2 linked regions of the Arabidopsis thaliana genome follow. The protein of the gene in region 2 purifies or fractionates together with the protein of the main gene of each other region. This does not show direct contact. Each region holds a gene or a part of one and is shown on either strand. Other genes may lie near its edges. The genes, in order: PRL1 and DCL3.

What was found.
Region 1: the proteins of DCL3 (region 2) and PRL1 purify together in Arabidopsis thaliana (affinity purification with western blotting, with the first as the bait; one study listed by BioGRID). This does not show direct contact.

Annotation. Positions count from the first base shown.
Region 1 is NC_003075.7:9,016,682-9,032,054, forward strand, and holds PRL1 (pleiotropic regulatory locus 1), read left to right. Parts: upstream 1-6,984; 5' UTR 6,985-7,093; coding exon 7,094-7,227; intron 7,228-7,321; coding exon 7,322-7,346; intron 7,347-7,584; coding exon 7,585-7,690; intron 7,691-7,804; coding exon 7,805-7,898; intron 7,899-8,002; coding exon 8,003-8,068; intron 8,069-8,261; coding exon 8,262-8,346; intron 8,347-8,463; coding exon 8,464-8,556; intron 8,557-8,770; coding exon 8,771-8,834; intron 8,835-8,946; coding exon 8,947-9,032; intron 9,033-9,102; coding exon 9,103-9,204; intron 9,205-9,306; coding exon 9,307-9,390; intron 9,391-9,492; coding exon 9,493-9,553; intron 9,554-9,682; coding exon 9,683-9,749; intron 9,750-9,870; coding exon 9,871-9,948; intron 9,949-10,067; coding exon 10,068-10,132; intron 10,133-10,246; coding exon 10,247-10,324; intron 10,325-10,589; coding exon 10,590-10,762; 3' UTR 10,763-11,127; downstream 11,128-15,373. Other genes in the region: AT4G15885 (kinesin motor protein-like protein), read right to left, coding at 10-75, 205-297; AT4G15890 (binding protein), read left to right, coding at 772-2,229, 2,541-3,078, 3,243-3,424, 3,673-4,164, 4,326-4,417, 4,496-4,583, 4,673-4,787, 4,911-5,043 and 2 more; DI21 (drought-induced 21), read left to right, coding at 11,976-12,058, 12,357-12,588; SWEET17 (Nodulin MtN3 family protein), read right to left, coding at 14,061-14,219, 14,772-14,891. UniProt on the Arabidopsis thaliana protein: Pleiotropic regulator of glucose, stress and hormone responses. Also regulates cytochrome P450 CYP90A1/CPD.
Region 2 is NC_003074.8:15,748,509-15,764,888, reverse strand, and holds DCL3 (dicer-like 3), read right to left. Parts: upstream 11,342-16,380; coding exon 11,208-11,341; intron 11,121-11,207; coding exon 10,946-11,120; intron 10,813-10,945; coding exon 10,699-10,812; intron 10,303-10,698; coding exon 10,168-10,302; intron 10,072-10,167; coding exon 9,998-10,071; exon of another isoform or gene 9,887-9,997; coding exon 9,823-9,886; intron 9,748-9,822; coding exon 9,616-9,747; intron 9,520-9,615; coding exon 9,367-9,519; intron 9,237-9,366; coding exon 9,107-9,236; intron 9,022-9,106; coding exon 8,916-9,021; intron 8,837-8,915; coding exon 8,644-8,836; intron 8,556-8,643; coding exon 8,395-8,555; intron 8,313-8,394; coding exon 7,987-8,312; intron 7,788-7,986; coding exon 7,516-7,787; intron 7,431-7,515; coding exon 6,910-7,430; intron 6,830-6,909; coding exon 6,735-6,829; intron 6,628-6,734; coding exon 6,398-6,627; intron 6,310-6,397; coding exon 6,100-6,309; intron 6,018-6,099; coding exon 5,550-6,017; intron 5,460-5,549; coding exon 5,187-5,459; and 9 more. Other genes in the region: AT3G43940 (uncharacterized protein), read left to right, coding at 1-15, 105-160, 231-351, 496-624; AT3G43930 (BRCT domain-containing DNA repair protein), read left to right, coding at 1,626-1,833, 1,978-2,069, 2,172-2,274, 2,348-2,553, 2,633-2,764, 2,849-2,956, 3,021-3,110, 3,193-3,398 and 2 more; AT3G43910 (MutS2), read right to left, coding at 12,200-12,352, 12,440-12,559, 12,652-12,698, 12,784-12,889, 13,341-13,502. UniProt on the Arabidopsis thaliana protein: Ribonuclease (RNase) III involved in RNA-mediated post-transcriptional gene silencing (PTGS).

The sequences.
Region 1 (15,373 bases), on a different chromosome or scaffold from region 2:
AGCCATAACCTCGTGAACTATTTCCATTGTATCCTCGATCTCTTTTCTGTGTGCTGTAATTAAGGTCTCTTCTTCCTGCCAGAGTTTAAACAAAATAATTACCATATTACAGGTTTTCTAAGGTTATTCGTGAGCGATATTCATAAAATTCCCTCACGCTCATAGCATAATTTAGAAGTATAGAAGGGTCAAATGGCTCTTTACCTCAAGCAATGCATCAATGTTTTCATCAAGAGAAGGCTCCGTTGTTTCATACTGCCTTGAAGATGTATCGCTTGTGTTCTGACTGCTAGCCATATTTTGTTGTCTAGAATTTGTCATGGCAGGGACATCAGTCTTGAGAATAAGATGAGTGAATCCTTTGACTAGTGGAGCCGCCAAAAGAAGATTTTAAAATGTTAAGCATAAATCATATTCCTTAAATGTTAAGTGAATCCTTTGACTAGTATAGTATAGTGTCTGGTTTTTCATTAGACTTTCTGAGATGAGAGGTATTTCTATTAAAACTTAAGTTGAAGGTTTTAAAATGAATCAGCCAAAACTGCAGGGTTTGTTTCATTAAAATCCCAAAATTGTTTCGTATACATCATATTACCCACTGAGGACTCTGCTCTTTGTGGAAATGCTAAATTAGCCCCAAACCTTTTTCTAAGTCCCACTTTGAATTCTAATAAGAACGAACAGATCGCGGGAAATCCAAAATGATTTGAAACCTTTTCACCTGAATTTCTGTGAAATCCAAAATTCTCTCTCTATCAGTAGAGAATCGCCATGGATGAAGAGCTTCTGCTCACTAGAATCCTTGCAGGAATCGAAGGAGGAGACGATGAATCTGACTATCATGAACTCGTCACGGATCTCAAATCTCTACTTGATACAGACGATGATGAAATTCTCAATCGATTCTACGGTAGTCTCTCCTCAATGGCTTCTTCGTTTCTCCGCTGTATCTCCGCCGCCATGGATTCTCCGGTTGAATCAGGCCGTCTTGCTATTTTAGCCTCCGACGCTTATCTCAGTCTGCTTCTTTCCACGAATTGCCCCGTTTTCACTTTCTTCTCTCCGATTGCGTTTCTTTCTCTACTTGGCTCAATTCGCCGCTACCTCAAACGCCGTGATGATTCCGCCGGTCAAGGGAGTAATTCGCAGCGAGAGAAAGGGAATAAGAAGAAGAGAGGACGTGGTAAGAGGAATTTAGGGTATGAAGATGGGGAAGAGACTGAAGAAGGTGGATTTGATGCGAAATTGATGTTTATAGTGTTAGAGAAGCTTGGCTCGGTTCTGAGTTTTGTTCATTTAGATAGATTTCCTGATAGTTTGAAATCTTTGGTACAAACTGTGAGTGAGATTCCTTTATTGGCGTTGGAGCACTCTGGAGTTTTGAATTATGATCGATTGATGGAAATGTGTGGGAAGATTCTGGGAGGAGTGTTGAATTCTGACCATGGAGATATGGCACTCACTGCTGCTGAGATTTCAAAGTCTTTGACACCGTTGCTTCTTATGGGGAAACATCAAGCGAGAAGTTTTGCGTTGGGATTTGTGTCAAGGAAATTGATGAGTTTGGCTAAAGATAACCCTGAATTGAAAAAAGTTGTGTCTAATTTGCCTAAGTTTCTGGTTCATAAGGCACCTGAGAAGGCCGAGCCGCGTGGATTTGCAGTGGAGGCGGTACTGGAGATTGTAAAGGCAATGGAGGTTGAGGGCCAATCAGAGTTTGTTGATTTTGTAATGAAGATGTGTCAAGGGAAGTCTAATTTTAGAGTATTAGCTGTTGATATTATACCTCTGTTGATAAGCTCATTAGGAAACCCTCTAGGAGATATTAGTTCAGAGAATGGGTTGAAAGATTCGTGGGGCTTGGGTTGTATTGATGCTTTAGTTCAGCGGTGTTCAGACACGAGCGCTTTGATTAGAGCTCGAGCTTTGTCCAACTTGGCTCAAGTTGTGGAGTTCTTGTCTGGTGATGAAAGGAGTAGGTCGATCCTGAAACAAGCCCTTGGGTTTAACGGTGAGACTTCAGAGGGAAAAGGTGCAGTAACTGACCTTTTGAAGAAAAGATGTGTGGATGAGAAGGCGGCTGTAAGGAGAGCAGCTCTTCTTCTGGTGACAAAATTGACATCGCTTATGGGTGGTTGCTTTGATGGTAGTATCCTAAAGACAATGGGTACATCTTGTTCTGATCCGCTAATAAGTATAAGAAAGGCTGCAGTTTCAGCTATTTCCGAGGTATGTTTTCTGTAACTCAGTTTCTTCTTTCTCATTTACCCGATGGTAATATGTGTAGAGTTAGTATAATTTATACGGGTTTGCTTTGACCTTAATTAGCTCAAAGTTAAAGAGACCAAATGTGCAAGCCAAAAATGTTTTTAGATGAATGAATGGGAAATTACATAGCAACTGCTTCCGTCGGTTTCATACTAAAATCAGATAATCTTTATACTTTAACTTATCCCTGAATATAGGTCAGGCACTCAGGCTAATGACTTGTTATCATATTTCTCTGATGATGCAAGTTCATTGTCTTCTGTTCACTGTAGGCATTCAGAATATGTACAGATGAAATTGTGACCACTGAATGGTTACATTCTGTTCCTCGGATGATCATGGACAATGAAACTAGCATCCAAGAAGAATGCGAGAATGTCTTTCATGAATTAGTTCTGGAGAGAATATTACGAGCTGGAAATGTGCTTTCTCCAGACAGTGCTTCTCTCCCTAACAACCGGAACACTACTTCAAAAGATCTAGACAGAGACATTGAAGCCTTGTTTCCAGAAGGAGTTTTGGTTCTCTTAAGGGAGCTTTGCAACAGTGAGGTTTCTCCTTGGGTTACGAAAATATGTGGAAGTTTGGGAAAGAAGAAGCGACTAAAACCAAGAGTTGCCCTTGCGCTTCAGTGTATCATAAAGGAATCTGAATCACTGTGGTTGAGTCGTTCAATGCCAATAAATAGATGGACAGCTCCTGCTGGTGCTTGGTTCCTTCTATCAGAGGTTTCAGTTTATCTTTCAAAGTCTGTCGAATGGGAATTTCTTCACCATCATTGGCAGTTGCTTGACAAGAATGACGTACAAGGTTTGTCAGAATTCTGTTTATCCATCTATAAACATCTCAATCAACTGATTCATGTCTTTACTTGTTCCTACTGGTAGTGTGATTTTCTGGTTTTAGTCCTAACTTCTACCCTAATTAAACCAATTTTCATGAATGTATGTATGATAATTTGGCTATTTCTGAAGGGCTAGATGAACAAGGTGATGAACAGGGGGTCGAGTGTAATTCTTCTACATGGGCTGGCGATCGAGTTTGTCTTTTGCAAACAATCTCCAATGTTTCCCTTCAGCTGCCAGCAGAGCCTGCTGCAGATCTGGCTGACAATTTGCTGAAGAAAATCGAAAATTTTAACCTGCATTCTGCTGAGGTAATGATAAATATTTAACCTGATATCTTCTATATAAAATCAAGCTCATGTTTTGAAAGTACAGAAAGTTACTGGTTTTTGTCTAGAAGGATGTATTCTTTCAGATTTTGATATTTTTTTGGTACTTTTCTGTAACCTGAAACTTGAACGCTTGAATTGAGCAGATCATTATTCACTGGTTTGAAAATGGTTGCTTCGTATATGGTTCATCTATCTTCATGAACTTAGTCAATGCCATTGAATGACAGGTCGATGCACATGTCAAAGCATTAAAAACTTTGTGCAAAAAGAAGGCAAGCACCTCTGAGGAGGCCGATATGCTTGTCAAGAAGTGGGTAGAACAAGTTTCATTGAAAGCATCTAAGGTCACTGAGAAGTACATCGAGGGGGTTTCCAGTCATAATCATTCTTTTGTTACACCAGCAACACTCGGAAGTAGAAGAAGCAAGAGACTGGATACTGTGTCCAAGAAATTATCAAAAGCAGTCACAGCAGTATACACCATTGGATCTTGTGTCATTATATATCCTTCAGCTGACACGACCAAAATTGTTCCGTTCTTACATACTGTCATCACTTCAGGAAATTCAGACTCAAAGCTGAAAAACAAACTGCCGCAAGCTAATGTTTGCTTGAAGCAAAAAGCTCCTCTTCTCTATAGTCAGTCTTGGTTAACCATGGCGAAGATGTGTTTGGCTGACGGGAAGCTTGCTAAAAGATATCTCCCTCTCTTTGCACAGGTCTGTCTGCATTTGCTGATTCATGTGTCCATTTTATCATTTTGATTATTTCTGGAAAGGAAACTTTTCGTTCCAGGAACTTGATTCATTGGATGGTAGTCTCCTTTGTCTCTTCAATTTTTTTTAACCTATGTGAACCCGTTGATGCCTTACTCTTGCAGGAACTTGAAAAGAGTGATTGTGCAGCCTTGCGTAACAATCTTGTAGTAGCGATGACAGACTTTTGTGTTCACTATACAGCCATGATTGAGTGGTATTTCATTCACAGAACATTAATTTTTCAAATGTTAAACATGATTGCGACATTCTAATGGTTTGTTTACCTGGATAGTTACATACCGAAGATTACTAAACGTCTTCGGGATCCTTGTGAAGTTGTTAGAAGGCAAACCTTCATACTTCTCTCAAGGTTACTACAGGTATTGCTATTCTCCACAGATTCTTTATCTTCTGTTTTTAAAAAGTATTGAATTGACAATGAATAAGCAGGCTTGTTTTCTTGATTCAGAGAGACTACGTGAAATGGAGAGGAGTTCTCTTCCTTCGATTCCTTCTATCGCTAGTGGATGAATCTGAAAAGATACGTCGACTTGCAGACTTTTTATTTGGAAGCATCCTTAAAGGTATGAGAACTCACGTGAGCAACCATGAAATGCATTCTTTCATTCCCATGTTATTGAAAATTCTTACAGAGAGACATGATCTCTAGGATTTTTGATTATTGTTACGCCCCATGTTGCTTATAGTAAAGGCGCCACTTCTAGCTTACAACAGTTTCGTGGAAGCTATTTATGTCTTAAACGACTGCCATGCCCACACTGGCCATAGTAATCCAGATTCTAAACAATCAAGAACAAAGGATCAAGTTTTTTCTATCAGGTACTTGTGTTAAAGTTATATAGTCTATGCTCATACGCAAACTTGACATTTTGGTGTGAATGATCTTAGTGATTATCTTTGTTTCATTTGTTCTGTAGAGGGAATGATGAAAGGGCTAGGTCTAAAAGAATGCAGATCTACGTTACTTTGCTTAAACAAATGGCCCCAGAACACCTTTTGGCCACATTCGCCAAGTTATGTGCAGAGATCCTCGCAGCTGCTTCTGATGGAATGCTCAACATAGAAGATGTCACTGGTCAATCAGTTCTACAGGTAACTTCCAAAATGGCTACAGAGCCTTTTTTCTTCTTGTGATTGCCGATTTTTAACTCGTTTTGTCTCGGTGTAGGATGCGTTTCAGATCTTGGCGTGCAAAGAGATCCGTTTATCAGTTTCCAGAGGAGCATCGTCGGAGACAGCAGATATAGAGGAAGAAGGTGGAGATGCAGCAACTGCAAAAGGAAGGGCCATAACGCACGCTGTTAGAAAAGGTTTGATTCAGAACACGATTCCAATCTTCATTGAGCTCAAGAGGCTATTGGAGAGCAAGAACAGTCCTCTCACAGGTTCGCTCATGGACTGCCTCCGTGTCCTCCTCAAAGACTACAAGAACGAGATCGAAGAAATGCTTGTCGCTGACAAACAGCTTCAGAAAGAGCTTGTTTACGATATGCAGAAGCACGAGGCTGCAAAGGCAAGGTCCATGGCTAACCAAGGGGTTGCCTGCGGGACAAGTCATAGAAACGGTGAACCTGAAGCATCAGCAGCAAGCGAGGAGAATGTTAGAGATTCGGGATTGGAATCAAGAGTGGTTTCTGCGGCTGCTGATGTGGTGGCGGCTAAGGCAGCTAGGTCGGTGTTGAGAGAAGTGAACGGTGGAGCTGCAACGCCGCCTCTGAGCGCAATGAGTGTTCCGAAGCTAAGGTCGAGCCGTGGAGTTAGCCAGAGTGGTCGACCATCAGCTGATGTGTTGGAGTCTCTGAGAAGAAGACCAACTTTCATGTCTGATGATGAGAGTTAGAACTTAAAAATGAGACTGTAGAAAATAGCTTTTGCTGTAAATGCATGACTTCGATTTTTCTTTTTGGGAGATTAGATCGAGACTCTATTAAAGTCTAAATCGTATTTATAAACCGCATAAGACACTAAAACCTGGTGTGTGTGTGTGTGTGCGCGCATTTGTTTGCTTGCTCATGTTTGTCCTTGTGTGATAAATCCATCCCTGCCCTCAAATTGATTTATGTGTTGTATGTGTTGATTTTAGTGATAACATCTCAAAGTGATTAAATATTTTCAAAAATGCTATTTGATGTCTATAACGGCTTTAAAACTTTTGCAAGTTCATTAGAGCTATCTCTAGCACATATATGGCGCTTAGAGATGTTACGAATATGTAAGACTGATTACATATCTCTTTGGCTTAATAAATATAAGTATTTGTGTTGAACTCTTTATCTTCTTCTTGAAGATGTCTTATGGGAAACATGTTAAATGGATAGTAAATGAGAGATTCGAAAATATAGTGTGAGCTTCCTTCTTTGGTTTATGCATTCTCCATGTGGGGGGCAAGGTTTTTGAAGATTTATACTTTTGTGGCAAATCTCTTGTTTGAATACTCCATGGGAGTCTCTCATCAAAACTATGCTGCAAAATATTTGAAAATTTATAAATCTATTGTCTTTGAGAAAGTGTTACAAAATTTATGACCTCAATAATATTGCATGAAAACTTTCATACATCATTTGGTATATGTATGTTTAAGAAAAGGTAAAACCGTAATTATAAAGAGAAAGAAAATACAATATCTTAATACATATCAATCTAATTACTCATTAACCATATTAAGAAAATATGTGTCTTTATTTTTTCCTTTTAACATAAAGCTTAAAAAGAAGATTTGTAGCCAGAAAAATTAATTGTGTTCATTTCCCTTTTAAAAGAATTTTTCGGCGCAACAAAATCGTGAAATTGATATAAATAAACTCGAGATTATTAATATAACCCTTTTTCACTTCACTTCTCTTTCTCTCTAAACCCTAAAAGAAGAACGATGCCGGCTCCGACGACGGAGATCGAACCCATCGAAGCACAGTCACTGAAAAAGCTCAGTCTCAAATCCCTCAAACGATCACTTGAACTCTTCTCTCCCGTCCATGGCCAATTCCCTCCTCCTGACCCGGAAGCGTTAGTCTTCTTCGATCCCCAATTTTCGATTCGAATCTTCATTTTCTTCACTAAGTTTTTATGATTTCTTCGTTTTTTTTTTTTTTTTTTGCAGCAAGCAGATTCGTCTCAGCCATAAGGTAAAACATTGAGTCTCTCTTACCAGTCTTTAGAAATTTATTTCAGTTATTCGCTTTTAATGTCTATTGATTGGATTTTGGTTTAAAGCTTCGAACTTTAGGTTTATTCAGGTTTTTCCATAATTGTTCTAAATCTTCAGGTTTTGTTACCAATAATAGTAAAGATGGTTGATTTACTTAGACTCTCTCTCTCTCTCTGTTGTGTATGTTACTGATTTTAGAAGTTTTCTTTGTACAGATGAAAGTTGCGTTTGGAGGTGTAGAACCTGTTGTGAGTCAACCTCCACGTCAACCTGACCGCATCAATGAGCAGCCAGGACCTTCAAATGCTCTTTCCCTCGCAGGTGTTTTTCATATCACTATGTCTTGGTGAAAGATAAAAACTTGTTTCTTGTTTGCTATTTGCATTCTTATTTGTATTGGAAGGGATAAAATCATCTGCTTGATGAATTCTGCAGCTCCTGAAGGGTCTAAGAGTACGCAAAAGGGTGCGACAGAGAGTGCTATTGTTGTTGGTCCAACTTTACTGCGTCCAATACTGCCTAAAGGCTTGTAAGTGTTATCTTTTGTTGTTGGTTTCGTTGATCTGAATGCTAATTGATGGTTCTACTTTATCGTGAGGATGCTCATAAAAGAATTCGGTTCTCGAATTGAAGGAACTATACAGGTTCCTCAGGGAAGAGCACCACCATTATACCTGCAAATGTATCTTCATATCAAAGGTTTTTTTCTCGTCCTCATACTTGCTTTTCTTTATCTGGATTGCAATACATTAATGGCAGCTCTAGGTAGTGTAGGTAGTTCATGGGCATGCAAATTAGACTTCCCCCAATCTGAATTTTTTTGGTTTGTCCTTATAATGTAGCTTCTAATTCTGATTCCTTTTTTGTTGTTGCGTTCCTTTGCGTGTTACAGAAATCTGTCAACTGCTGCATTAATGGAGAGAATACCAAGTAGATGGCCCCGGCCAGAGTGGCATGCACCATGGAAGAATTACAGGGTAAAATCCGTGGCTCAGCATTGTTGCTGCATCATACGGATTTTGGTCTTTTGTTGGTCTCCAAAAAACTCTGGTTTGAGGAGTTACTTAACTTACGATTAATTATTCTTTTCACAGGTCATTCAGGGGCACTTGGGTTGGGTCAGATCTGTTGCGTTTGACCCGAGTAATGAATGGTTTTGTACTGGTTCAGCTGATCGTACCATCAAGGTAGCAGAGATGATTGCTTATTCAATATGAATTGTATTTTTTCGAATATGTTTTCTTGTTATACTTATAAGTCATGATACAAGACTTCCCTTCTATGGCTAGTTACTGGAGCTTAGTTTAGTGCATTGCCAAAAATCCACTACTTTGGCGATTGTAGAAGCAGTTCCGACTTTGGTATGTTTACTGAATTTATTACTTGTGTTTTATTCACTAGATATGGGATGTAGCAACTGGAGTTCTGAAGCTAACACTTACTGGGCATATCGAGCAAGTACGAGGTTAGCCTTTCAAATCTGTTCTCGTTTATTAATATTTGTTAGACTTTTCAATAAATAACACTCTCGGGACAAGTTACAAGTTTGGGCTCTTTTGTTTTGAATTTTGTTACAGGCCTCGCTGTAAGCAATCGACATACCTATATGTTCTCTGCTGGTGATGACAAGCAAGTCAAATGCTGGGACCTTGAGCAGAATAAGGTTACAACTCTATTCTCTTCATTATCTGGATTTCTCATATCTAATGCTCTTGGAATTTTTGATTTGATAGGTTATCCGATCTTATCATGGTCACTTGAGTGGTGTCTATTGCTTAGCTCTGCACCCAACTTTGGATGTTTTATTAACTGGGGGGCGAGACTCTGTCTGCAGGGTAAGGCAAAAATATTTATATCCATATTTATATATCTTCTCGTTTGAATTCTTGCACTTTGCTGGATTTGTAGTTTAAAAGTCCATGTTTACTTATTTGCAGGTGTGGGATATTCGTACCAAGATGCAAATTTTTGCACTCTCAGGACATGACAACACCGTTTGTTCTGTATTTACTCGTCCAACAGTAAGTCTCTTTTAATATGGACTTGTTGTTATGGTTTTTGGATTTCTTGCTGAATCTTTTTATAATAGTAACTGGAACTCACTTTGATCTGTGTTGTTGCAGGACCCACAAGTTGTCACCGGATCCCATGACACGACCATTAAATTTTGGGACCTTCGATATGGTATATCTTATCATTGTAACCATTGTTTGGACTTAAAATCCATATTATTTAAATCCTTCCTTATTTGATTATCAGTTGCTGCAAATATATGGTTTCATTTGAATAATGCTGTATTATTATTATATGCAGGAAAAACAATGTCAACGCTAACACATCATAAGAAATCTGTCCGAGCAATGACCCTCCATCCTAAAGAGTATGTGTAGTCGTACTGAATCTACTTTTGTGTATCGTGCTGAATCTACTTTATCTTTCCAATAGCGAAGTCTTTGCACCTAAACTTTTCCTTTATGTTATCTCTTTAATTTTCTTTTTAGGAATGCCTTTGCTTCTGCATCAGCTGACAACACCAAGAAATTTAGCCTTCCAAAGGGAGAGTTCTGCCACAACATGCTGTAAGTCTCTGCTAGATAATTATATACTTTGCATCTCCAGTGCTTTTGAAATAGGAGCTGTCATTATTAATTATGTAATTGATGTGTTTGAACAATGTTTATCTTTTTCCATGGAAAAGTTCGCAACAGAAAACCATAATTAATGCAATGGCTGTAAACGAGGATGGTGTGATGGTCACTGGAGGTATATAATCATTTCTGATTCCTTTCGTCCCTGTGATTGTTTTCCTTTGATAGTAAAATGGGTGAGACATAATCATTTTCAACTGAAACTGATTCTATATATGTGTGAATGAAGGTGATAATGGAAGTATATGGTTCTGGGACTGGAAGAGTGGTCACAGTTTCCAACAGTCAGAAACTATCGTACAGCCTGGTACGTACATTTATAGCTTTCATGGTCTTTTGCTCCTGATCTCCTTGTTATGGTAAGATGTAGAAGTCTCGGTATGTTCATACAACGTAGTCAAGTTTGAACCCTGGTAAAGACTCAAATGTTAGAAGTGTATGATACTATGATTGAGCTCTAGGGAAACCAAGAAAGTTGACGTAGGTTTATGGTTTATGTAAATGCCTATAGCGTCGTCTTACAAGCAAATAGTAAATGGGTCTTTAATTGGATGTGGTTGGGCATATGGCAGGTTCCCTGGAGAGTGAAGCGGGTATATATGCAGCGTGTTATGATAATACAGGTTCAAGATTGGTAACATGCGAGGCTGATAAGACGATAAAGATGTGGAAAGAAGATGAGAATGCAACTCCAGAAACTCATCCTATCAATTTCAAACCACCAAAGGAGATTAGGCGCTTCTAAATAACTTGTATCTGTAACTCAAAGCTCTTGTTGGAATCTCACTAATCTCTTCATGATTCTGTTTCCTAGATCAACTTTTGAGAGGGGACCTTTGTTTTGTGGTGGGGAGGAAACAAAAGGCCATGTACTTTATGTATTTTAAGGGCATTTGTAATTTTTTCTATCAACAATAATAGATCATGTATTGTTGTTTATGTTGAGAGAACTTTGTTACTTTTATCTCCCGTCTCTTGATTCTCTTCGTTAGTACTTATCGAAGATCTATCATGATTTCTGTGCAACCAAATCTGTGAAGTTTTGTAGGACGAATCTAAGTATTTGATCAACAACTTATATCTCTAGTCTCCACCACTGAAAGTTTTCAGCCTAAATTTTGGCTCGGGTTGTTTGGTTTATGAAGCTTTTATAGTGTAACTACACAGCTGATACGAAGAAACCAAGTGTAAAAACAAAACAGCTGATACGAAGAAACCAAGTGTAAAAACAAAAGAAAATATTGAAATAGTAAACAATTTGAATGGAAAAGATCCACTAAAAAGAGACGGTGATGGTGAGCTCGTTTGCGCGAAGACACCTGTGTGTTGGTTTTGCAATACGTAAGTGACACGTTCTAGTTATCATCATTCAGATCTCACCGACCTCTTCTGATCTTTTGTACCAAAGTATACTTGTTTATTCGCAGATCTTTTGTAGACTTTTCACCTTTTTAACTGCCAGTATCGTTTAGTGGAAGACGTACATTGGTTTTTACGTCTTCTATTTCTTTCAATTCAATCATCAAACTATCAAAGCATCAAACTATCATAGCTTTCTCACTAGTCACTTGTGGGTTTCTCGAAAACAGGCAAAAACATAAATAAAACCCCCCAAAAAAATGAATTAGCCATTTACTATTTTCACATTTCAGTTTTTAACCTTACTTTGGCAGTAAGTATGAGCAGTGGGTCCACAGTAAGGCCCATGAGCCCAAATTTCTCTGTCGTGGTCTATATAAGTGCGCCTAACCCAAACCCTAAAGTCTCTCGAAAAACCATCACCGGGGAATCTGACGGCGGCTTAGTACCGGCGGCTACTGCAAAAAGGATTGTGTTCTTCTTAGGCTTGATACTTGCCTTGGGAAGAATATAACAATCATTTTGCGGTAGCTAAAACGCTAAGCTCTATCGTCATATCTTTATCATTGATACTTATTTGATATCTAAATATCATAAAAATGGCCGCTCGTTCACTCTCCGGTGCCGTTAAATCTCTTTGCTCCGCCGCATCCGGAAGTCTGTCTTGTTCCATTGTCTTAAGGTACTTATGTTTGAACTGATCCCATTTTTTCAGGTTACAATATATAAACATTTACACACTCTTTCATTTGCTTAGATCGTATAAAGAATTTATAATTCTAATTGAATAATAGTTGATGGTTTGAATTTGAGTGAAGGCTAAAGATTGATCTATCATTAATAAACGTAATTAATTTACTTAGATCTATTAAAGATAATTATGCATGATATTATCACGTTATTTTCTACGTTTTCGTTATGTTATTTAGTCATTTGCTGTTTATATAATCTTACCTTCAAAATAAATTATTGGAATGTAGGAGGAGTTACGTTGCTACATCGCAGAATGTAACAGCAGCAGGATTGAGTAAGGGAGGTTCCACCAGAGTTATGGTGGGGAAGATGGAACAGAGAGGTTTAGATCAAGAGGCAGAGTCTGCTTGGGGACCAGATCCAGTTACTGGATACTACAGACCTTCCAATCGTGCGGCTGAGATTGATCCAGCTGAGCTCAGAGAGTTGCTTTTGAAAAACAAAGCAAAGTCTTTCTGAGAATTTTGATTGGTTGGTTGACTTGGTTCCAGTGGAAGGTTGTCGTAGGCGACTATTCTGATTATGTGTGTTTATGTTTGTCTTGTATCAACTATTAAGTAAAAATAAAGATCACATTAACTAGTTAAAAATATAATATCTGTTTGGATCGACTAACACAACATCTTTAGTATAACAGTGTCTTAAATGTTTTAAGAGATAAATGGGGATATACGAAAAATAGAAAACGTTGCTAATTATGACTAAATTATGATACTTAACAACGTCAACAACAACAAAACAAGATGATTTCACTATGGCATTATATTTTGTGACCACAATCTTATACTTGTTGTTGTTGTCAACATCAAATACAACAATAGAAAATGATGGTGCTTTTTCATACCCCATATAAAATTTTGTTGATTCTTCATGCCCATAGTTTTGTTGAGGCTGCTAATGGCCTAATAGTCTTAGAAAATGCAAACGGACTATTGAGGGTTGAGAATATGCTGTAATTCGGCCCACTTCTGGGCTAGTCGAGTGAATACGTAAGGATCAATCATCAATACTTGGTTGCCACAATAGATTATGAATCAGTGAAACTGTGAAGGGTTCAAGATCTTAGTATATATCATAACTAAATATTATCACTTTGTCCACTAAACTTAAAATGATAACATCGATTCTATGCTATAATGAGATACTGAGATCAACGTTTTGGCTGCTTTTCCTCCTTTGGTCTTAGCTAGTGGTGCTATTTTAAAACTTTTCAGTACTTTTTCGTTTTAGGTTTACTGATGTGTTTGTTATCGGAAGAGTTTTGTCTCTGTTCAATTTTTTCTTAGAAAATATTTTTTTTTGAACATGTATTATTTCTCAACATTTGTCAGTCTAAACGTGTTGTCACTCACATTTCTTCCCCCAACAAATATCAAACATGTTGTCACTCTCGTTTTCATATATGAAATTGAGCATCAACAAGTATTGAGGAGGACATATCCCTGAGCTAGTCATTATGACCATGTTGTTGTGTCTGAAATGAATATCACGATCCGAACGCTAAAGGGAAATGTCAAAGTCCGAGAGACGAGTAAAACTGAAATATGTTTGCTCCACAAATACCGAACCGTACGTACGTCTGTATGACTGTATACGCTCACTTGCAATCGAACGTACACAACGACACAAGACGTTTTTTTACGAATAATATCTCACAAACTCAACCGTCAAGAATCTCAAAACTTATCCAAACAAAAAAGTTACTAAGCCTCAAAACATAGTAAACACTCCATTCTCTTATCTTCGCTTAACAAAAGATGCATTACAATAACAATCCCTAAAATATGTAACATCTTCAAATTAATCTAATTTTGTCCAAAAAAATAACGTACACAAAATCGCACACCACAATAATGTAACAAAAAATATAAAGATTTGTATTTATAAGACCCAAATTAATTAACAAGCTCTTGACATAAAAAAAAAGGGATTTAAGAGAGGAGAGGTTCAACACGTGATGTGAGGCCTTCCTCTTCATCTTGAGCAATCTCACTTAAACCGTTGCTTAAACCAACCGGTTTGGCATTTCTGTAAATTCCATAAAGTATGAGTTGCATTGTCCCAAACACAAACCCCACTCCATTTGGCACCTATCCAATTTCACCACATAACTTTAATTAACTAAATTAATCAATCAATCACAAATACATTATTTCTCAACAACATAATTATAATCAACGCCTATCCGAAATCACAATAAAACGCATTTGAAAATGTCCCCACAAAATAGTAGTTGTTGCATTTTTGAACCAGACACGTTCTTTAAAAAATTAATTGTTTGAAAAAAATGGCCAAAAAAAAAAACATTTTGGTTAATGTTGGAGACTTGGAGTCCACAATTTTTAAAAAATCATTGAGCATTAAATCGATTTTTTCTTTTCCAGAAGATTTTTTATAAACTGTGACATGACCTGACACTAATGGGGTCTAATTGGGGATGTAAAGAAAACAACAAAAATATTTTGGGGGTATTGCTGGAATATCGAAAAAGATATGGGGTCGATGAAATAGCTTTGTTAAGTTTTCCTTTTTGTCTTTTGAATGTGTCTAAAGCCAAAACACTAACGGGACACAGAGACGGCATGAGTATAAGGGTGTAATCATAAATTAAGAAGTGAATAAAACAGTGAAACTATACTTACGAGTAAGAAAACGTCGTGTTGGAGTAAAGCATAGACAGCCCAAATCGCGCCGTTTAAGAAGAGGAAAAACGACAACCAAAACGGCATGTATTTCACGCTCTTTGTTGTCACTACTGTTTTCTGCATATTGTATTAAGAAATTAGACACTATGATCAGTCTATATATTATAACAGATATTGTGATAAACTCAAAACGTATTCTATTTATTTTGTTGCGAATGATTGAAAATGAAATGTTACGTATATATGTCTTTATCCAAGATATGGACCTACCATACCAAGTCGTGGTACAGTATAGTAGCTGGAAAATAAATAAACAATTGGGACGTTGATTTTCATATTTTAGATGTGAAAAAAATCTAATGACGTACAAGTTCATATAATTGATATGTGACTGCGATTTTTTTGAAGACGTGCTTAAAAATGCCATGTGGTTGTTGGTTTATATATGATGATTGCATGTATATATGAACGAAAATAACCTTTATAAAACTAAATGAACAACTACCACCAAAAATAACCACTGACCTTATTTCTGAAAACAGAAAAAAAAATATACTATAAAAACGATATTCGAATTCCACTAAGAAAAAGACAAAAAT
Region 2 (16,380 bases):
TGGTATTTGGAGGAGGTTGGTGCCTCAACGGCGACAACATGCTTTTTTACCAAATCTCTTTTGGAATGGTTGTTTGAAAATCTAAGTACTGGAGGAAGCACTAGCGAGTAAGGTTGGCCTACATTGTTCAGTATGGCGGTTTGGTGGAGTTGGAAGTGGGGTGTAGTGATGTTTTTGGTGAAAAACGAACACACCGAGTATAAGGTGGGTTAAACTTACTATAAATGGAGCGTCTCGTGGAAACTCGGGACTGGCCACTGCTTGGGGGTGATCCGATGGGGAGGTATTATGGCTGGGAGGGTTCACGCTGAACATAGGTATATGCTCAACAGCGACGGAAGAACTATGGGGGTGTGTACTACGGTTTGGTCATTGGTTGGGAGACAGGATTTCGTCGAATAGAGTTGGAGTTGAATTCAGATTTGGTGGTTGGACTTCTACGAACAAGGTTGAGTGATGCTCATCCGCTGTCTTTCTTGATACATCTTTGCCAAGGCTTTATCACAAGAAATTGGTAAGTCTGGGTTATTCACGTATATCGAGAAGCTAACCCGTCAGTCAGAAGGTTTTATAGTTAACCTTCTGACTGACGGGTTAGCAAACTATGCCTTTTTTTATAGTTAGGTTTTCATTCTTTTGATTCTTGTACTGATGTGATCCATTCAATAATGTTAGAGGATTCTAACTGGACGAGCTTTCCACAAAATATTTGGTTGTAATTAATTTTTTACTTAATTAATAAATTGGGGGATATTTGTTCCCCCTTTCCTATTTAAAAAAAGAAACTTGAGCTTTACACATGTAAATATATCCGCGGATGTATAGACGGGTACGTGTTTTAAACATGTATAAATATTTGTCTACATCAGAAAATCAAATAAAATTGGTCTTTTAATTATGTAGTTAATATATATATATATATATATAACACTTTATTTTGTATATATATGATTGCAATAAAAATTGGTCTTTTAATTATGTGGTTAAGATATATATAACACTATCCTGTATACATATGATTGCATTATGATTTGATGTATTTCGTTTTCCAATTAAACTATGTTTTTTTTCCAGCAAACTGAAACTATTATTGTTACTTTGACTAGTTTTTTTTTTCTTAAGAAGTTTTTTCCATATTTAACCATTTCTATTATTAGATTTTGATACATATTAATGTATTTTTTTACATTAAAATTTTGTTTCGTGATTTTTTTCTATATTGGATTAAATTTTGTATCGTGTTAATTAAAATATTATGTCATATAATTTTATTATATAAAATATAGTTTTTAAAGTTAGTAACTCGCGTGATCATATGATACATGTCAAATTATCGTTCATATGTTGATATATGTCAAAAAAAAAAAAAATCTTTTTTCTTAAATAAAATAATGGAGAACTAATTGCGTTAATACTAAAATATCAACGAAGTCGTTTGATTGTAATGACGAAGGATTTACTTTCCTAAAATAAACGATCATGCTCACCTCTACTATACATATTCTTCAGATACTCATAATCTTCTTTTCTTTCAACAATCTTTTATTAGTTTATTATGTTTTCATAAGTTACGCTTGTAATCTTCGTCCTCTTCCTTGAACTCCAAGATTCAAACATATTTTCTTATGGAAGGTGTTAGAAGAGCAGAGGTGATTGATACAAAGAGGTGTTCGAAGCTGCGCGTGGATTTCACGCCCTCACTACGTGGCAGTCGTATATCGGAGCCTTTTTCTCCGGCCACCACCACCACCACCACCTCCCGATTCCATCCACCGGTTCGTTCCGATGGACCTTTCTCTGGTCTAATCATCTGCGTAACTGGTCTCTCTAAAGGTACCAACAAAACATTTATAAATTAATACTCGATAAATTAATACCTCGATTATTCAACTTTTTGTTAATAGACAAAATCAATCAGCGTATTTGTAAAGAACTCTGAGCTAGTTTTATGAATTGAGTATCAATTGTTGTATGTAGAGGCAAGGAAACAGGTCAAGGAAGCTACAGAGAGACTTGGTGGTGAATACAGTGCACTTTTGCATTCTCTATGTACACATTTGGTTGTTCAGATATCCTTATGTTACTATAGAATTTAGAGTAATCTTTTGAAATTATAAACATGAACATTTATGTAGCTTTGTGTTAGTTTCTTAACACAAAAAGGAGTATACAATTATGATGGACGGAAGTTTGAGCATGCATTGAAACATGGAAGAAGAGAGACTTTGTATATCGTTACGCTTGGGTGGTTTGTGGACAGTGTCTGTAGAAATGGTGTGTATGTCTTTAACCGAGTTTGCACATTCTTTGTTGATTATTTCTCATACTAGATGTGATTTTGTTGTAGTTAAGCTGAGTGAGTCTTTCTACGCGGTCAAAAATCCCGAAGAGACTAAGGTGAATGAAGATGGATTAAAGTCGGTTTACGCGGTAGAAAAACTACATAGAGGAGGAGGAGTTCAAGGAATAGAGGTCACAGGAAGCAAGGACTTGGCCTTGTCAGGCTATTCGGTTTTTATCGATGCTGATATTTCAGAGGAAGTGAGACGCCAGGTTAGTCCTAAACACCTTATGAGTTTTAAACGTATGTAGCAACGCCCGTGGATCAACGGCTACATTCCAATTCTTGTAGGTTTCACAGGTGGCTGTTGAAGGAGGTGCCAAGCTTATGACTCAATGGTTCATTGGATGTAATGCTAGTCATGTTGTATGTGAAGGTGGTTCTGTTTTAAGATATCTTGGTCACTCTAGCAATCTTGTTACAGTAAGCTAATGAGAACTCATTTTCCATCTTGTTTGCGGTACATTATCCTTTGGTTGCTTTATGTAAAATTGTCGCCTGTTTCAGCCACTATGGCTTCAGAAGACGTTGGAAGAGAAACCAACGCAAAATCTAGTTCAAATGTCAGATGATTTGGCACGAGATCTTAGGACAATGATTGAGAATCTTGGGAAGGTATCTTTTGTCTGTAGATAAGTATTCATGAAGTCTCTAGTCCTTTAATCTTGTGCTCCTACAGGAATCTCCTACAGATAGGACGAGACCACACAAAGAAAGGCAGAAGATTGTGGAATCCGCCAAAAAGACTGTCACAAATCGCCACGCAAAGGCATTTCATCTTTTTCTCTATTTCATCTTCGAAAACCGAGCAATCGCTAAACCGAACTATATTTTCTTTGTTCATAAAACAGATGGGGAAGACTCTGATCCAGCCGTTAAATCTGAGCAGCCTTCTAGATTCTATCTCTTGGACAATATCTGAACCAACTTCAACAGCTAGTGTTATCATAGATAGTTTCAGCAACAACGACGATATCGAAAGAAAATCTTTATCTGCCTTCTTTGATGCTAAATCTAATGATTCATTCACTCACTCCATGAGACTGCTCACAGAAAGGTTCCTATGTTCTACTTCATCTATGTAACTTGAGATCCAAGCTACTCTTTTAAGTTTATAAAGCTCATGTTGTTTATTGTTGTTATGGCATGACAGTGAGAGAATGGAGTTGGTATACAAAAACCATTTTATAACATTACTACTTCCAATCGATTGGTATGGTGAAATGGGACCTTCTTCCAGGTCGTATTTCAGTGAAACCGGCTTTACATGTCAGCAGATTCTCCAAAACATCTATGCATTCTATCAGGTAGCAATGTCCTCATATGTGCCAGTATCTCGTTGACGAAACCATTTTCAAAGTAGTTTTGTGTGTTGTATGTACTGTCGCAGGAAAACATGTCCGAGGAAGAACTCAAAGCAGCTATTCACACCAACTCGAGGCACAGTGAAAAGCTCCGAGCAGCGGACTCGGTGATGAAAGGCGGGAAGACTGTATTCAAACGTATTCAGTTTCTCGGATCCGAGAAAGGTTTCGAGATGCTAAAACGTGTTAGTAGCTTCAACTGTAGTAATGTCTATGAGCTTATCATTAAGGCATAACAATTAACATATAAATTAGAGATTCAGATACAAAACTATTATTTGGGAGTTCTCGCATTTCCAAGATCTGCTCGAGATGACTAAATGTGAATCATATATAGTACAGTCTAAATTAGTCTACTTTTGTATTATGACGATCTTGCGGCGCTCGAGCTCATAAAGCAATTCCACGACTGCAGAGTCGAAGGAACTCTTCTTGTCAGGCCTTGCTTCTCCAGCATACATCACAGCCTCACGATTGGGTATCCTTAGGGTTATGGTCGATGTGAAACTGCTGAAGCTAGTCCGCTTCTCACCGCCATCTATGAATTCAAACGGAGTTCTGTGCAGTTATCAGTCTCAGATTGGTCAGGACTCGGGATACATGAGAGCAGAGAAAAAAGGAACCAAAATGAGAAGTCACCTGGATTTCTCTTCCGAGGTATCGAAAGTAGGCATTGGCCACAGATGCTTCTTGCAAAACTCATGTAGAGTTCCACGAGGCCCGCCTTTCTTCATGTTTATAGGTCCAATAACTGAAACACATAAAACCATGAAATGCATAACCCTTGATACAAAAAAAAAAAAAAACTGAAGAAGAAAAGAAGAATCTCTCTAGGTAAATAACAGTGCTTACATGGAATCACTATACTCTGGATTTCAGTAGTCTCTGAAGTCAGAGTTTCTCTGTCGCTATGATTGCAAGCAAGATTGACATCCATGGAACTTTGATTATCCCCGAGCGAGGTTTTACGTGAAATGTTTCTCTTCTGAAGAACCAAAGAAAGTTTGAGCACACACACCAACACACACGCAAGTGGAAACATCAGAATATATATACCTCAAGTTGTGTAAGCAGATGTGAAGCTGCTTTTCCCAAGGCCAGTTTATTTGTCTGTTCAGATCCATCTCCAGTTAAAAGAACATCATCCAGCTGCAACTGGATCGTGGCTTGTGCTTTGACACCATCATTTGAACATTTCACTCGAAAGAAATACCCAAGAGAGTCGCATAGCTCATTGAGCTCCCGGTATGGAGGAAGCTGAAGTTTATCTGGAGTTACAAGTGGAGAAAGCAACGGCTCAAAGACTCTCCACACTTGATCGAGATCTAACCTCGTATCGATCAGCAATGCTCCAGCGATACTCTCCACAACATCTCCAAGAGCCTAAACCAAAATAGACAAGTATGTCAACCTATTTGCTCTCTTTATAATCTGAAATCTCAGGCAGGGACTTTAAATGGTCATGCAAGTATATTTTTTACCTTAGGGCCCTGTATTGAAGGGATTGATCTACCAGTCTCATCTGGCTTTTGAAAGGACATCAGATAGTCGTTTATTTGAGTCTCGAGAACCGTAGCACAGCGTTGAAGGTGGGTATGCAGGTTATTTTTCACTGCAACTTGCGCAAAATTTTCATTGTTTACACATGCAGAACGAAGATCGGTCATCTCTCCAGGCCCAGTTTGTTCGTAGGTGTTAAAAAGATGACGGGTTATTAGAAAATCCAGTACAGAATCGCCAAGAAACTCTAATCTCTGTTTGAGGAAAAAAATGATAGCATGAGGTTGGAAACCTGGGAATAAGTCAGCCAAATAATGCAGGGGTTGAAAATGATGAAGTCATACCTCGTATGAATAGGATTCACGAAGAGAGGAGTGTGTGATAGCCTCTTTTAAAAGAAACTTTGCAGAGAATTCATGTTGGATCTTTCTCTCCAACTCTATGAGCTCATCTTCTTTAGGAATGTAACACCGTAGAGAAACTCTATTGATGGCTTCAACGACTAGGTTTGGGTCAAAATCGACGTCAATACCGAGCCATTTCATCATATGGAGAGAAGCAGACAATCCACCGCTTACATAATAGGCACCAATCAGGGCCTCAGCGCAATCTGATACAGATTTTGAAACTACCCATCTATGACCCATGTCGCAAGACTTGCCTATTTTGATAGTCATGTTTTCTGTGAAGAATTTTGGGTCCAATGGTACTTCTCTAGTATCAATCCCACACTTGCAAGGAACAGGAAAAAGAGAAAATTGACCAGGTGCAGTCCAGCGACGCGGTTCAAAAGCGCCATTTCTTATGTATCCCTATCAAACCAATCCCCATGGAAAGATATTTCTTTGGTGTTCTGACTGATGTAAGACATTACTTGCAAATGTTAGAAGATACCTGTAGTTTGCGACTGGTTGTCAAGCGGTGAAGATTTGAGTTAGATATAATCGATTGTCTCTGCCGTGATAGTTGCCCCTCATCTTTGTCAGGATACTTAAGGAATAGATGACAGCTCGCAACATACTTCAAGACTGAATCCCCGAGCAGTTCCAACCGCTCCATTGAAAATGATTCGGGGCATGTAAGTGTTGTAACTGCTTCAAGAATCTGATTTATTGAACCAAGACAAGAGTTTAATGACAATCAAGATATCTAGTTTCATCTCTAAATGACAGATAGTTTTCAAAAACCATACCGATGTACTTGATATACTGAAGTTATCTATGCTACAATCAATCTCTTCCCTAAGCTGGCTGGCCAACATTAGAGACTCTAGGCGGTGCATCACTGAAGGCAGCAAGTAGATTGATTTTAGCACAGCACGCGGTACATCAATTCTAGCCAAAAGCTCTGGAGGCAAATGCGCATGGATATTCGGTTTTCTTTTCCTAACATTGCCAGCTTTTGGTTCTGTCTTCACAACCACTGTCCATTTACATTGGAAACAACATCTTAGAGCTCACACACTACAATATCATGAGAACATACACAATGATTCCATATGTTGGAGAAATTCTCAAGAATCAACTTACTCTCTTCATTGAAGTCGACTAAAAGGTTGTGCGCATGGTGACTCTGCTTCAACTTCATCAACGGCTGGTTCGGGTGCGCTAAAACAATCCCATACCTGATTAAAAGGGAATAACATTAACTAGAGAGTTATGATAAGTAGATTGAAAGAACAGCCAAAGCTAGAATATCACTTACTTTTTGTTAAAATATTCTGCATAAGTAGCATAGCCTGATGAGGCATCCACCTCAAAGGGGCTCATAGCAGAAGAATCGCTTACGGCTTCAACTATAGAGTATATCCGTCCAGTATGAATTGCAATGACCACAAGTTCTTCGAGACTATTTTTATCAGACGAAGCATTGGCAAAATGAATCAGATTCGTTTCTTCCATTTTATCGTCTAGTAAGACTTCCTGACCGGATGAGGTATTGCACTGATTCCCATCACTATCCCGAAGATCAAGAAGAGAATTTTTCTTCAAGAACTCAACTATTGAGGCACAGGAGTTGATAGCTGACCAATCAATTGTCGCACTCGAAGCTAGATCATTTGTTTCAACTGGTAGCAGTAGAAACATAAAGGCAGGGTGCCAAAGAGAACTAGTGTCAGTTTGAAGCAAAAATTCTCTCTTTGTTCCCTGTGACTTAGATCCAACAAACAACTTTCCAAACATGCCATTAAAGAAAAACTGCTGAAAATATTTTGCTTTGACCAGCTGCATCCAAAACACAAAGAAGAAGACATCAAGTTCAAACCATGAAACAAGAAACTGTTTATAACTAGGGATCAGAGTTATGTACCTCCTCTTGACTCAAACGTATCTGGCCACAAGGTGAGACAGAAGCCTTGACAAGCTTCCTGACCAAGTAAAGGTCCATCTCAACTTTACCAACATCCTCGGCGAGAGTTGACTCAAGCAAAAGAGAGAAACTCGAGTATACTTCGCCAGAAATATTACAACAGAAGTCAAACTTATAAGCCTGAAAGGTGGCGCCATCAATATTTTCTCCCCAGGTTCCTGACAATGCGTTTGCACAGGTTGTTCCGTGCAACTCCTTACGTTTTTTTGAACCTGTTCAGCGAAAAGAAAAAGAAATGTATACATAAATAAACAAATTAAGACAAGCTCCATGACCTTAGACATAGACATATGATATGCAACTGCTGATGTGTGCGTGTATGTGTGTGATACAACAGCGGCTGATAGAGGAACTAAAGACTAAAATCAGCGACACCAGCTAATTGACGAATTAATAAATTAGAAAACATACCTGCAGCCGATGAAGATGATTTACTTTTAGAAGAGGCAACCTTCTCTTTGCCGTTGGATTGTAAGAGATTGTTATCCAAGCGTAACTTTTTACACGGTGGTAACTGCTCATTTCTGCTAGGAGGATCACTCATAGTTTGTGTGGAAGCTGCTTCCTCAGATACAGTTATGTTAGAATCTGGGATAACCATGGATCCAATCTCCTTCACACCGTGTCCATTTTTCACTGGAGGTGGACACGATTTCAAGTTTGGAGCTTCTGGATCTTGAATTAGGACTTCTCTTCGCATAAGGTCATGCAGATGGTCTCTTTGCTTCGGGTTCCCTCTACAATAATTAGTATTCAGAAATAAGCTACAAAAACTGGAATTTGGTAAACATTTTGTGTTAAATAAATATTGCTTCCTACCTTTCAAGAAACATGATAGACTTAGAATTACTCTGTTTGGCATGTTTTTGAGACTGCGAGTAACTACACATTGTTTTGGGCAGGTCAAAACAAACCATGCATGAGCAATCTGGAACCTGAAATCCCTCTTCAACCACATCTGTGATGAATAAAAGATTCACCTACATGCATTAAAAAGCTTTCAGAGAAGACAAAATAAAAACATTTCTCAATCTATAAAACATCTGACTGTGATGAAGAACAGGTAACCTTGCCATGTTGAAATAAATCAGGGATTTCAATTTGCATTTTCTGTGCCGATACATTGGTGGAGGGGTTGTTTTCGGTTAAATACAAGACATTAAGGTAAGCCAAAGAGGCTTCTTTCTTAACGAATCTTTCGATCACTTTCGCAGTTATAATTCTCTCAACTAAAATAAGGCACTGCTTTTGCTTGTCACCTCTGCAAGCAAATTGAAATTGTCAGAACAGATGGAGATCTTGGTGCAATTTTGGGAGTTGGATAAACAATTTAAATTTACCTAAAGGAATCCAATAGATGGAAGAGTTCTTTTAGCTTTGGAGATACATGCCCAGAAATTACTGCTGACAGATGGTTTTGCTGCAAATCTACCAGACTCTTATCATCTGTTAAATAACACAAATGATAAACAGTGTAAAAATTAGTGACTAGAAGAGGACTCAATGCAATATAGAGCTTTGAATACATTACCTTGCGGCAAATACACCCCAATGGTGGATAAAATATCCTCAAGAAATTCCTTGCACACCATTGAGCATTCTTTATAAGTTTCACTTTCCTCTTTCGTATCTGAGATTTTCTCCAAGCAGACTTCAGCCGCCTATCGCGAAAGCAAGATGAAAAAAAAAAGAAAAATAATCAGCACAACAGGTATGCTAGCGGGAGAAAAAAGTAACAATGAGTAAGCAAATGAAGAACTGGTAATAAAAACTAAACTGGTAGAAAAATACCAAGTGTGCGCAAATCAGGCCAAGATTATCAAGGCAATGCAAAATCTCTCTGTAGTCGATAGACAATCTCTTTTGATATGTCTCAAACTTATTATCCATATTCAGAAAACTGTCTTTTCCCAACTCTTGAAGCCTTCTAAGAGAAGCATCAAACTGTACGAAAAAAAACAGAATATTTTTCAAGCACTCTGAAACATAATAGGAAAGAGTCATGTTCTGGATCATATTCAGTGAGCATATATTATATACCTTGAGGTGTGAAGTTTCTAACTTTTCTTTCAATTCCAAACTACAGGATGGTGATGGGTTATACAATATTGGACCTTCTTTAACCGTTGTAGCAAACTTTTCCACTCCTTCACGCTCTTCAGGATTAAAAATCTGAATTCAAAGTAAGATTGCATAGCATTAATTTGTAAACTATATCTGTTTCCTTGTTACACAAAAACAAAGTACCTTTGAGTCCATGAGTCTCTCAAGTTCTGATACTTGAGCTGCATAGTTAGAGGGAGAGGAAACACTTGTAGTATGAGTTTATGTTCCTTACATGAAGTTCAAACATTAAAAAGTAGTTACAGGAAGCAGGATCTTTGGTTTGGCATACAGAGGAAATAAGAAACTTTTAAATAGCATGCCTTTTCTAATGACGGCTGACGCAGTCAATCCAAATATCTTCGGTTTGCTAGTGGATTCGTGATAGAATTCCTTCATGAAAACAAGAAAGAATCTAGTTCGTTGACAAGTTATGGAAACTCTATTATGAAAAAACTAATAGAGCTTATCATTACTGAGAAAACACACCTTCATTAACTTCGCATAGGGATGATTGCCAGTGGTATGGTGGCATTCATCTATTATTAGAAGACATACCATCTCTAGTTTCAGGAATGCACTTCTAAGGACATCCAATAATATTTGAGGAGTCATAACTAAAACCTGAACCATACAAAACATAATTTCATTGCAGATAATAGACTCACGTGGATTCGGCAACAAAAGAGAAGTATGTGATTCTGTTAGTGAGATCAATGCAGTCACAAATCTACGTCAAGGGCTCAAGCAAACAAGTTCAAACAAAATAATTAAGAAATAATCAGCATTGGAAGAAGAACCAACCCCAAAAGTAACAAATTGGAATGGGCTTTTAACTAACTCAGAGAACATTCATGACTCAAAATACAACAATGAGCTGGTCAAAGTGGATTACAACATTCTGCCAAAGTTTCACTAACCACACAAAGAAATTTTGATATAAAATCACCAAAACTACAAGCAAGTCACTTTGTTGGCGTATAACTAGCCAAATATACACAAAAAGAAACAGAAACTTACATCGTGCTTGCTAAATTCCTCATCCCAGCGCTGAGATGTCCATTTATCAACTCCTTTAGCTCCAAAGTACTCTTCAACTTTCAAATTCACAAGTGCTCTGATCTCACAGCATTGCTAAAACCACACACACCAATAAAACATTCAAAAATAAGCTCCCAAGGCGACTCATTAGCCAACATCATCAACTCAAAATGATTAAAATCCAAATGAAACAGTTTTTCTTTTTACAATCAAACAAGAGACTTGCCTGTTTAACAAGATTCACAGTTGGGGCCAAGAAAATTATCAATCTTTTGTCTGTATCAGAAGAACCCATAGCTTTGATAAGCCTCTTAGTGATCTCTGACTTATCAATCCCTGTCCCCAAAACAGCAATTATGTTCCTGTTCTTAGCAACCTCGTACACTTTCAATTCATAACTACTGCCAAAAAAAAAGTAAACTTTAGTGAAAAAGACTAAAAACCCATAAGACCCAAAATCAAGTACAAAGAGAGGAAGATGATGATACCCATTAGAGTCAGTCATCATAGGAGAAGAGACAGAATCAAGATTTTGATCTCCATCGATTTCAGAGAATTTTCTCTTAAGCGAATTGCTTCCCCCACCTTCCTCCATTTTCTCCGGCTCCAACGACGAATGCATGACGAACGGATAAAAAGGAACACACTTAACGGGAAGAGTAGAGGAATTTCGAATTTCGACTTTGAGATTAAAACAAAAAGGTGATTCTTTTTCTCTTTTTCTGCACTGACCACTGGGCAAGTGTATAAATGAGGTCAGAACATGAGTTTCGAATGTTGAATTTTTAACTAGAAAAAAAAACTGCAACAAAATTAGTCAAACTATATTAATTTTTGGGTTACCTTTTTTCGATACTTTATTTTTGATTTTACTCTTTCTTCAAATATTTAGGCCTCTAAGGCCCAATGGACCTGACAAGATGCATAGATTCATTGGATATACTGCTGATTGATTACTTTTCTTCAATGTGCAAGCTGTTTCATGTTGTAAGTAACTTCGCTTTTTTTATTTATCCGGGTAATCTGGTAGAAATGTACTAAAATACTTTAGCGTGGACTTCTTCCCAAATAAACACCACAATGTATGTTCCGAGTTTGGAATGATTTTCGACTAAAAGAAAGCTAAAAATGTAGAAGAGGGGCTGACTTATGTTAATATCATCTAATTCTAATGTCTCTTTCAACCCGAGACAATTTACCTTGTTTTGTCAGAGATTATTTATAATTTGTTAGGTCATGAGGATTTCGGTCGGGTTAAATCATAACCAAACTACATTAACAACTCTCACCTTGAAAATTAGATAAATATAGAAATCGAAAAATGACCAAATTTTGAGAGATTTTGAATACGGAAAAAGAATAAACAAAATATTTTTTTCTAATTAGTGAAGAATTTTCTGAAAGCCAAAGGAGCAGAGAAAGAGATGCAATATATAAGTGAAATCACCAAAACATTACTCATTTTTACATGTTAGATATGTCACTTAATTTGAGAAAATGAGTAATATCTTGTATCACTTGTAGCATGACCATATGCAGCAATGAGTAGTGCATTAGCTCGAGCATTGTCGTCAATTTTCGTTGTCAATTTAAGTGATGGAAACATTTCCAGTGCGAGTTTCCTGCCACCATCCTACGAAGAGAAAAGCAAATATTTTTATTGCAATTGATGTGAGGATAGACATGAAATCATAAAAGTTTGAGAGTTAAGATTCATCACCAAACTCCAAATACTAAGATTAAAATGTTTGTCCCATGTAGAAGGAGTAACGTAAATAACAGAAATGCTAGATGTGAGAAGTGTCCATAATCCACATCCAAGTCCATCATTGTAGGCAGTCTAAGATATAAAGACACAATCATGTTTCAGTGTATCGAATCCATATCATAAACGTACTGAAGTAAAAAAAAAAAGAGATGAGTAATTTTTACAATAGCGTTTTCAGGATGAATATATTTCGCTACAAATGCCTTGGTTCCTACAACAGTGAAGAGACCAAATTGATTTTAAACATAACGCAAAGAACACGCCACAACAAAAACACAGTGAAATATCGTTCTTACCGGATGGAACATCTAGACTACGAATCAGTTCTAGCATTGATTTTTCGTTGAAACTACGTGTTCGGATGTTTTGAACTACAACTTCCAACTGAGGAGTATCATATACCTTCACACAGATTTAACACACAAAACTTAATCCATATCAAAATGACTAAAGTGAATTTTCCACTGTATTCACCAAGAGAACAGTTTACAAAGCATGTCTTATTTAACTTAAGGGATAGATAACAAAACTCACTAACTCAATAGTTACAAACAGGTTAATTAGTTGTAAATCTTCTATCATCCAATATTAATTTCATTCATATAATTCCTATAGATAACAATCGAACCTTGTATATATAAATTATGATAAACCAAGTCCATCTGCCTGAGATTACCCAATGAAATATCGAACCTTGTATATATAATTTATGACTAACCAAGTGCATGTCCTGAGATTACCCAATGGAATATCTTAATTTACTTCACAAACCCTAGAATCTTGTAGTTTCACAGTTCTAGGGTTTCAGAAGAAAAACAATATTCTTTTCGAAAATTAATTAGTAGCGATTCACCTGAGCAAAACAAGATCCCTTGTCGTCGAATTTCAGCACAGCCAAAGCTCCGGATAAGTTAGGGTCAATCCCAATGATCCAATGTGGCTTAAAATTCTCTTGAATCATCTCGTCGTAGTTTGGTGAAGAAGAAGAGAGAGGATTCAACGATTTTTGCTTCATTAAAGCCTTATCTTTGTCCTTCTCATGTAAGGAGAAATATCGAGAACGGAAAGATTTGAGCTTAGAGGAGAAAGTCGTTGCCCTTAGTTATACCTACAAGAATCAGGGAAGTAAGGAACGTAAGTACAAAACTAATTAACCTACTCACGTACGTTCATACAAAGTTTGTAACAATGGACCACAAACGTAGAACTAAACAAACCATTATGTAATCATGTAACCAACCCATGTCCATAACTTTCTTGTACAATAAGTCATAGATTCATTGGAGCCTAAAAGTGTAGGTTATATAAGAGATAAACAATAAAAACTTACGTCTCCCAAAGATCTATATATTTACTTAAACGAAAGATTAATTAGAACTAACTTCTTTTTCCTCTTCCACTGCTTTGTTTATTCAACATAAATTTGCGCAGCTAAATCGTTTTAGATACGACGAAATCGACTATTGGAAGTAAGAAAATTTGGGATATGAGAGAATATGCTCTGCAATCTGGTGTGATCTACCAAATATTATCTGAAGCAACGAAACGAGTCACTATTTAATGTTCAAATTAGTCGTCTATTACGTTTTAGGTTTTTTTTTTTTGTTTTGTTTAATGCAAAAATAAATCCAAAAAAGTTTAAATATTTATTTAACTAAACAAGTACATAATTGTACATCCCAGAGAGATATTACGTTTTACCTTTCCAACATGACTCAGCTGAACGACATTATCAACATAAAATAAAATTTCATTAACAATCCAACTTAAAAATAATTAGATAAATATAAAAAAACGGAGAATGACCAACTCAGTTGGGAGACAAAATTCAACACATAAGAAGAAGCTACGCTAGCTAGTGAAGAATCTACTACCACCATGAATCATATGTTTGATTAGAAAATGATTTTTAGTGGAGAAAAATCAATCACATAGATCAGACACATGGTTAGAGTCCCTATATACAAGAATTGGTTGGCCTTTTAACCAAACCTAAGATTCATAATCTAATTTTTACTTAGAGAGGGAGTGATGAAAGAGTTTATTATAGACACTAGAACTTGTTGCAATTAATGTACATTAGCTAGAGATTATCCAAATTTAGAATAGAATCGACAGAAAAGATAACAAAGTTTTCCACACCTCCACAGGAGTATCATATACCTTCATAGATTTAACACACAAAACTAAATCCATATATATCAAAATGCTAAAGTGAATTTTCCTCTCTATTCACCAAGAAAACAGTGTACAAAGCATGTCTTATTTAACTTAAGGTTAGGAATAGATAACAAAACGCACTAACTTAATAGTTAGAAACAGTTTGATCTATAATATTAATTGGAAATTACTCAAAAATAAATAACTATATAAAGGGTAAAATATTACATAAAATGTTCTCAAACTAAGGCAAACTAAGAGATTTCGTCAAGGGGTAAAATGGGCAATTTAACACATTCTGACACACGGATTCTGGATATATGGGTCGGATCTATATCCAGTCAAATTCGGATAACACGCGATCCGGCCGGTTGGAATCTACACCTACATTTTTGCAACCATTTTAGCAAATAAATCATGTACTTGACACTTATTTACAATGGCATGCCAGTGGCATTAAATATTTTATTTTGCTAATTAAATACGAAATATTCTATTCAATAATAGTTGCCAAAAATCTCTCAATATATCTAATTGGTATTAATTATTCAGATTTGAAAATTTAAAAATTTTATATTGCGCTCAACAAACGTTTCCAAAAATCTCTTCAAAACTTTCTACACGGGTTTATTCACATATCTATAATCTGAGATTTTTTTCATCAACTAATTACTCCCAACATACATTTTCCGAGATTTCTACTCTACGATATCTGTTGAATTATATATCTTTTAAATTGATTTGAATTGTATATATCTTTTAAATTAAAATATTACTTAAACAAAAATAATAAGATAATGTTTAATTTCACTGCACGGGGTTAGATGATAGGACGAGTTTGGGTCGATAGTAATACGAGACGGTATACCATGGGTGAAATTCATTAGATGGTAGGACGGGTTTGGTCAATAGTAAATTGAGACGGTATATCACGGGTGAAATTCTAGATATAACAATCAAAATACAATTATATTATTTTAAACACTATACAAAAGAAACAATATTAACAAAAAATATAATTTCAATTTTAATTATTGTTATAGTTTAGATTTTAACATAATGAACTGTATGTTATTGTTCCCATATTTTTAAACAAAATCTAATAGAGTAATTTTACACTAAAAAGTTATAGATATAAGAATTGTATAGTTAGAAAATAAAAAACATTAAATCATATATATTTTTAATCTACTAAACAAATTAAATGTTTTATTTTTAAAAAAAATTATATAATCCCACGGTAGACCGCGGATAAAAATCTAATATGGCAATATTGTTATAAACATGTGGATCATTCGATTGGATGGCTGGTTGGGATTTTGGGAATCTTTGCCATACTCCTGCAATTTAAACAAAACAAAACTAATGTCAAACCAAAAATGACAGTTATCATTTAAAGATATTTATATAACAAACGTATCCCATTAGTTTCGAAATGTAAATAAGAACAAAAAATTGTTTTTGTAATATTAAATGTTTTGAATAGTAAAGGTAATAAAAACTAGTTAGAAAAGTATCCAATTCTGATGGTTGTTTTCAATACATTTACCAAAAGTTACAATTAAAATATATTATACTCCCTTTCAAATTGAGTATATACCTTAAACCTATCCCATTAATTTCGAATTGTAAATAAGGATAAAAAATTGTTTTTGTCATGTTAAATGTTTCGAATAGTAAAGGTAACAAAAATTAGTTAGAAAGATATCCAAATATATTCTACTCCTTTCAAA